Oryctolagus cuniculus: one gene and its partner. The protein of the gene in region 2 purifies or fractionates together with the protein of the main gene of each other region. This does not show direct contact. Links are inferred from orthologs where the notes say so. Each region holds a gene or a part of one and is shown on either strand. Other genes may lie near its edges.

The links. The genes of interacting proteins can lie anywhere in the genome.
Region 1: the proteins of RNF139 (region 2) and INSIG1 purify together in Homo sapiens (affinity purification with western blotting, with the first as the bait; 3 studies listed by BioGRID). This does not show direct contact. The link is inferred for Oryctolagus cuniculus from reciprocal best matches to the Homo sapiens genes RNF139 and INSIG1.

The regions. Positions count from the first base shown.
Region 1 is NC_091438.1:13,102,575-13,107,471, reverse strand, and holds the start of INSIG1 (insulin-induced gene 1 protein), read left to right. Parts: upstream 1-1,639; 5' UTR 1,640-1,778; exon of another isoform or gene 1,779-1,901; intron 1,902-2,242; 5' UTR 2,243-2,273; coding exon 2,274-2,688; intron 2,689-4,897. UniProt on the Homo sapiens protein: Oxysterol-binding protein that mediates feedback control of cholesterol synthesis by controlling both endoplasmic reticulum to Golgi transport of SCAP and degradation of HMGCR.
Region 2 is NC_091437.1:150,150,747-150,153,702, reverse strand, and holds part of RNF139 (E3 ubiquitin-protein ligase RNF139), read right to left. Parts: intron 659-2,956; coding exon 1-658. UniProt on the Homo sapiens protein: E3-ubiquitin ligase; acts as a negative regulator of cell proliferation through mechanisms involving G2/M arrest and cell death.

The DNA of each region.
Region 1 (4,897 bases), on a different chromosome or scaffold from region 2:
AGAGGCTCCTGGCTCCTGATCAGATGTTGTGGCTACTGGGGGAGAGAACCAGGGGATGGAAGACCTCTCTCTCTGTCTCTCCGTCTCTCTATAACTCTGCCTCTCAAATAAATCAATCTTAAAATAAATAAAAATAAAAACACATCAAGGAACAGCCGTTTGACATAGCAGTTATGATGTTGCTTGGAACACCAGCATTCTGCCTCTTGAGTTTCTGGGTTCTAGTCCCAGCTCCACTTCTCACCCAGATGCCTGCTGCTGGCTATCCTGGGAGGCAGCAGGTGAGGTTCAAGCACCTGGGTCCCTGCCACCCAGGTAGGAGACCCAGACAGAGTGCTGGGCTCAGCTTTTTGGCCTGGCCCAGCCCCAGCGGGTGCAGCCATTAGGGGAGTGAACCAGTGGATGGAAGATCTCTTCCTCCTGGTCAAACTTTCAAACAAACTAAACTTTTTAAGTCAAATTCAGGTGAATTTCCCCCTTTCCCTAATGGACTCTGAAAAATACTGATACCTTAGGAGGATATCTCTCTCTTTTTTTTTTTTTTTTTTTTTTTTTACAAGCATCTGGCCTAACAGCCACAAACTTTAACGCCGAGGATGCTACACAGCGACATCTCATGTTGACTCAGTAACTTCACAGTGACTCCCTGGGGTCTCTGGGCCAAGCTGCTACTTAGGGCACAAACTTCCCCAGCACCTCCGCCCATCTGCAGACAACACAGAAGCCCGGGCGCTCTTCCTCTGTTGCTGTTCAAGAACATTTTTAAGGAGCCTGGCCCTTGCGCAACAGCAAGTGGGTTTTCAGCGGGCACCCGGCCTGTCCTGCAGGGTGGCGTGACTTGTCAGCAAACGGGACGTGCAGAAATCACGTCCACGAGATAACACGATCTGTTGTTTTTTTTTTTCCCGCGAGTGCTCTGTTTCGTGTTTGTGCTGGCTTGCTTTCCAAAGGTCAGCAAAGACCACCGGAAACTAGAGGGAGTGGTCACTGGCATTTTCATAAAAAGCTTTGTTGCCACACACACGCGCTCTGGAGGGTGGGAACCAGGAGCCCGCGTAAGGGAACCCCGAACACAACCCAGAGCTCGCAGGTGCGGGGACCCCGAGGGACCCCTCCCCCCCGCCCGGGGGAGCGACGGAAGGGAAGCCCCCCGCGGCCCACGGGGCGGGTCGCGGGATGCGCACCCACACCTGCCGCCTTCACCCGGGCGGGTTCTGCGCGGAGCCGCCGCCCACCCCGTCATGACGCTCCCTGGCCGCGGCGTCAGACCAGGGTCCAGAGGCGGCACGGGCTGAGCCGGGGCCCTGCACGTCCGCCCTGCCTCTGCGCCTCCGTACAGGCCGTGATCTCCACCCACCCCGCCCCTCCCCAGCCCCTCAGTCAGCGAAGCCGCCCTACCCGCTGCCCGCCTTCCACCCGCCGGGAGTCCGGGCCGCGCGCTTCCTCCTGACAGCGCGTGCCCGGCGCGGGCCCGCGGTGGCGTGTGCTCGCGTCATATGGGCCGCCCATCTCCCATTGGCTGCGGCCGCCTCACCAGACCCAGTGCGGACGGGCACGCGGCAGGGGCGGGGCGAGCGGAGGCCACGCCCCCGCGCGGCGCGCGCGGGCGGCGGGTAGGCCTGGCCGAGTCACGTGACGCGGGGCCTCGGCCTGCCATATAAGCCCGCGCGCCCTCGCGGCGCTGTGGCCACACTTGGGGCCGTCCCGGGCCGCGACTCCTCCTCCGTCCCCGCCCCGCCCCTGCTCGGTCAGCCCGCTGGCGGGCGCCCCTCGGCCAGGTAAGCTGCAGGTTGCGAGGGCCGGCGGCGTAGGTGGCAGGAGGCGGGAGATGGCGCGCGCGGCGCCGGGCTTGGCGTCCTAGGCGGCCGGCTGACTGACGCGTGGACCCCGTCTCTGAGGCGGTCGGTTGGCTCGCTCTTACCGCGGGGGGGACCCGGGGCAGGCGCCCGGTCCTCGGCCGGACGCGGAGGGTCTGGACACGGCGGGGCGGCGCCTGCCGGTGTGCACGGCGCTGGGCGGGCGGGACGTTTATACCCGCGCGCTGTGTGTGTGTGTGTGTGGTGTGTGTGTGTGTGTGTGGTGGGGGGGCAGCTGGTCCCGGCGCCGCGGCGGGCATCGGAGAGCCGCGGTCCCGGGACTGGCGATGAAGGGCAGCGACCCACAGGGGCCCTCCCCCCAGCACCCTGCTCTTGGAATTGAACTTGATCACGACTTCGCCTCCTCTTTGCCCTCCGTCTTCCAGGAAGCCCCTCTTCGGACGCCGCTGGTGACTGATGCCCAGACTGCACGACCACTTCTGGAGCTGCTCCTATCCCCACCGTGCGAGGCACCAGAGCCCCCTCAGAGCCCGCGCCGCAGGGCTGGCGGCCGGAGTGGGAGACATGATCAGCTCCGCCGCTGTGCCCGGTCCCTCCCTGCTGGTGGCCCACAGTGGCCCGGACACTGACCCCTCTCCCCGGGATCGGAGCGTTGCGAGCAGTGGCCACCGTGGCAGTGGCAGCCACACCAACAGCTGGCATCATCACTTGGTGCAGAGGAGCCTCGTGCTCTTCTTGGTGGGGGTCGTCCTGGCCCTGGTGCTCAACCTGCTACAGATCCAGAGAAATGTCACCCTCTTCCCCGAGGAGGTGATTGCCACCATCTTCTCCTCTGCCTGGTGGGTCCCTCCCTGTTGTGGGACAGCAGCTGGTGAGTACCCATCCTTGTTATCAGAAAAAATTTAAAAAAAAAAAAAGGGCATCTATTTGGTTAAAAACATGTTTGGGGCCTGCAACAAGCATTTGTTTGGAAATGAGAGCATGCAGAGATGAAAACTGCCATCTCCAATCTCTGTATTTAGAGAAAGAACTAGAGAGGATGTGGGGCACCCAGTGCTAGTCTAAGTCACCCCTCGTTTCAAGTTTGGGGAAGCCCAGTGATGGAGATGAGGTGGAGAGATCATTGGCTGCTTAAGCAAATACTGGGCCAAGTTGACTGAGGTCCCTTCCCTCCAGTGTCCCGGCTGACCGGGGACAGCCTCCAGTATAGCCCACAGCTGTCACCCAGAGCAGGCTGCCCCACGATTGGCCGCCTGCAGAACTGGTGAGCCGCAGCCCTGAGTGGCGATTGGTCGCCCCTGCGAACATGCTACCCTGCTGGATAACTGAAAACAAATCGGTCACATGTGTTCGAGAGGCGGTTGCCAAGGGAGCAACTTCTCAGCACTTCCTTCTGCCGGATCGCCAAGTGCACTGTGGCGCCAAGCCAAGCCTTTTTCCCCCTTGGAACTGTTACAGTGCCATAGATTGGGTACGGGAGGAAGAGCTGTCCCCTTCCTGCTCCTGACAGTTTTAGCGTACCTCGCCCATCAGAGATGCTGTCAGCTGTCACTCGGGGTCAGTGTTTGTAACCAGTGTCTGCTGGGTGCTTTCTATGGCCTTCACTATCTATCAGCTGTTGAAATGTCCTCTGACCAAACAAGTCCCTATCATTGAGCACCCCGTAGTCAACAGTTATCTATGTAGCTACAGTACAAGAGGAAGAAGATCCTTTTCTGCCTTCTAACTAGCACTTAGTGACTGCTGTAGGCTTTGGATGTGTTGCTTCGTTTATCCCATACAATACTGTGCTAGCTAGCGCTCTATTTTATAGACGTGGAAACTCAGTCCACTGTACTGGAGCACACAGCTAGTAAGAGGCAGAGCCACTGCTCTCGAGACTGCAGACCGCCCCCATCTCAGTCGGCTCCCTCGGAGCGTCTCCTTGGGGTGGAGGCCTGGTGGCCCAGCCGGGACACGTGTTATCACAACGATGCCAGACTTGCGAGGCAGTGACTAGAAAGTTCTCATCTCTGTTCTCAGATGGGATCCTCCTTTTGTGTGTCTAAACACTTGAAGTATATGGCTGTACTAATAGAAAACTTTTTTAAGTAATAGATCTAAATTTGAAATTTCCACTTCATTCACCCTTGGGACAGAAGTTTCTTTCTTGAAACCAAAAACTTGATCTGAAAAGAGAACTGGTTGAGAGTATTTGTAATGGAAGCTTCAAGGGATCCTAGGAATATCTGAAACAATTTCTCAGACTCTTTTTTTCTGAATGTCTGGCTAAAACTCTCGCTTCTCGGCTGAAGAACCTAAAATTCCCACTTTTATAGTCAATCAAGTTGCAATTACTGCCTGACTTTGAAGAGCCTCAGGTCTCAGATGCACTTTACACAAGGAACCTCCCGCCCCCCAGAGCCATCCCAGAGGCCTGCATTCCCACTCACACCACTGTGCCTTGCACAATTCCTGCCCTTCTGTCTTCCACTTGCCTTCTCTTCGCAAATGCCATGTCTGCCCACCTAGCCAACTTCTCTGAGATCCTCTGCGGGTGAAGACTTCTAACTGTCGCAGACCACATGACCCCTCCTCCTCTCCCCTCCAGTTGCATAACCCTCATCATTTCACACATGAGAAAACAAACATGAAGAGCCACGTCCCATCAGAGGGCAGACTGGGACGAGAGGCCAAGCTTTGTTTCCCTGGTCAGTGCTCTTTCCACAGCTTGGGGTTGGGCCACAGAAACCAGTACGGGAGGGCCTGGCCGTAGGACGTAACGCAGAGGATGTGTACACAGTAATGCTCAGTGGTGTCTCCTAAGAAAACGCAAGAGCCCCCTTGCAAATTGAGGCCAGTCTGTGGGCATATGACCCGGCCTGTCCGAGTCGACTCAGCGAAACTGTGAGTGTCTCACCATGGGCCCAGCAGGGACCTGTCAGAACTGCGTATGTCTTGTGGCCCCAGCTTTTCATGGCCACTCACCTTTTCATTGTAAAGTGGAAGTCACAGTTGATGCAAATAGATAAGTTATGAAGTCATTTCGGTGTTGCACTTTAGAAAATATGACCATTGAATATTAAAAAATTAACTGTCCG
Region 2 (2,956 bases):
TTACAAATGAGGTCCCAGAAATCATCCCGAGATAGAAAGAAGGAATCAGTTTCATTTGCCATCCTCAAAATGTACATTAACACTGTAGCCTGAGCTGTAATCCTTGTGAGCCAAAAGACTCGAAGTATATCTGGGAAACGAATCCTCTTCCATGTGTCCTCCATCAGTAGCTGTAATCCATAAATTCGATACATGTGCCTCACTAAAAGATAAACATAGCGTGTGGAATAATAGAACCACTTAAGTTTCACTACCAAGACAAGCACTGTATTTAATATGAGAATCAAGGAAGAAGCAAAAACTAAAGTCTCTCTGATGTGTAATGGTAGCTCTGTGATTAAGCCTATTACAGGAACCAAGAGGTCCAAAATAATTAGCTGCGAATGGATGGAATGAATCTGGAGTAGTGTAATGTATCCAATCCCAAATGTTAGTTGCAGAAGGATGATGGCCATCCACAGCGAGGGCCCTTTCCGAGGAAGCAGCTCAATTTCAAAAGCTGATGTGTTGTAGGCACCTTCATAGAAGTCAATGTGCAAAGCAGCGTAGTAATTCACCAGCACTGCAGACGTTACTAACAGAAAGGTTGAGCTGTACATGTAAAACTTGAAAAGTGATCGCTGGGACAAGATCAGAACAATACTGGATACAAAGATACCTACAAAGAAAAAAGAAAAGGTCATTTGAATGAAATATTTTTAAGAATGGTTTTCCATTAGTACTTACATTCTTTGATATTCTTCCTTTAATTATGAACATTCTCAAAGATATGAACATTAAGCCTAAAGACAATTTAGGCTGAAAGGGCAGAAGTTCTGTAAAGTCAGAGTTCAACAGGACAGACCAAATTATTTTTTAAAAAATCTCAATCCTTATTTTCTAATTTCCAAAGTAATTCAACTAATACTGTATGTCTAGGCACCCAATTACTAAACTATCTTTATTCAAGACAAACTGGTAGTTATACATCCATTTTAACATATTTCAAAACATGCCAACTGTAATTCCACAATCATTAAATTTGTGGAATTAAATATATTTTGAAATTTAAAATAATTTATCAAAAAACATTAATTAAAAATCCAAATGGAAAGCATTTGTTCCTATTAAGTCTTAGAATTCTTCATTATAAAGTGTTTTTTGGGAAATCAAGTTTACGTGTTTAAGTTTATTTTGTTTGAAAAGCAGAGAGAGCTCTTCCAGCCTATGGTTCACTCCCGAAACATCCAGAAGAGCCAGGGCTGGGCCAGGGTGAGAAAGGAGCTGGCAACTCAATCCTGGCTCTCCCAGGTGGGTGAGGTGGACCCAAGCACTTGGGTCATCACCTGCTGCTCAGGGGATGCATTGGCAGGGAGCAGGACTGCAAGCAGAGTCCCGGGGCTGGAAACAAGCTCTCCCATATGGGATGTGGGCGAGCCAAGCAGCCTTTTAACCACTGTGCCGACACCACCCAAACATTTAAGTGTTATACTTCCACGTAATTCCTCCTTTTCTGCAAACTGTGAACTTGTATCAGCTCTTTTTTCTGCTCCTTAAATTTGAGCATTCTCTAAATGTCCAAATTCAATCTTTTTTCTCTACATACTTCCCTTCAGATTTGAGAAATGCCCTCCAAGTTCCCCGAGTCTTATTTCTTCAAGCAGCCAACCATTCTTACTGTTCTTCAAATCACAAAAGGAAAATTCAGAAACCAAAACATGGTGAGCAGAAATGGTACTAACTCTCCCCCTCCTCTACTCCATCCCTAACCAATCTCAACAGTCTAATGATGTGTATCCAGCCTGACTTTTCTCTGTGCTCTGACAAAAAACATACTTTTTTGTTTTTGTTTTGTTTTTTTTTGTTTTTTTTGACAGGCAGAGTGGACAGTGAGAGAGAGAGACAGAGAGAAAGGTCTTCCTTTGCCGTTGGTTCACCCTCCAATGGCCGCCGCGGCCGGCGCGCTGCGGCCGGCGCACCGCGCTGATCCGGTGGCAGGAGCCAGGAGCCAGGTGCTTTTCCTGGTCTCCCATGGGGTGCAGGGCCCAAGCACCTGGGCCATCCTCCACTGCACTCCCTGGCCACAGCAGAGAGCTGGCCTGGAAGAAGGGCAACCGGGACAGAATCCGGTGCCCCAACCGGGACTAGAACCCGGTGTGCCGGCGCCGCTAGGCGGAGGATTAGCCTAGTGAGCCGCGGCGCCGGCCAAAAAAACATCCTTTTTAAAGTGAGATTACAGGCCGGTGCCGTGGCTCACTAGGTTAATCCTCCGCCTTGCGGCACCGACACACCAGGTTCTAGTCCCGGTTGGGGCGCCGGATTCTGCCCCGGTTGCCCCTCTTCCAGGCCAGCTCTCTGCTGTGGCCAGGGAGTGCAGTGGAGGATGGCCCAAGTGCTTGGGCCCTGTACCCCACGGGAGACCAGGATAAGTACCTGGCTCCTGCCATCGGATCAGCGCGGTGCGCCGGCCGCAGCGCGCCGGCTGCGGTGGCCATTGGAGGGTGAACCAATGGCAAAGAAAGACCTTTCTCTCTGTCTCTCTCTCTCACTGTCCACTCTGCCTGTCAAAAAAATAAATAAATAAAGTGAGATTACAACAAGCACATTATTGTCCAACTATCAACTGTAGGAATGACATCGAAATACTCATTTAGTTCCACTCCGACATTAAACTGCAAAACTCAAAAGTTCTAAAGCTCAATCTGCCTTACCAAAACCAGCTTGCTTTGTGATTTCCAATTTCAGTTAAGGTAAGTACCATTATTCTTCTCCAGGGTACTTCTACTCCCAGCCCAGACCCTCAATTTTTGCCAACTAGTTGCCAAGTTCTACTAACACCTGTATCTCCCTTTTCTTAGTGACACCAACTAGTCAATCTGCCTCTAAAAGCTCACTTTATCCAAATCTATATTTAAGCCAAACTGCCTTTCTTCATTTTTCTGTTCAAAATGCATAATCCCAAGCTCTGAAATTACCA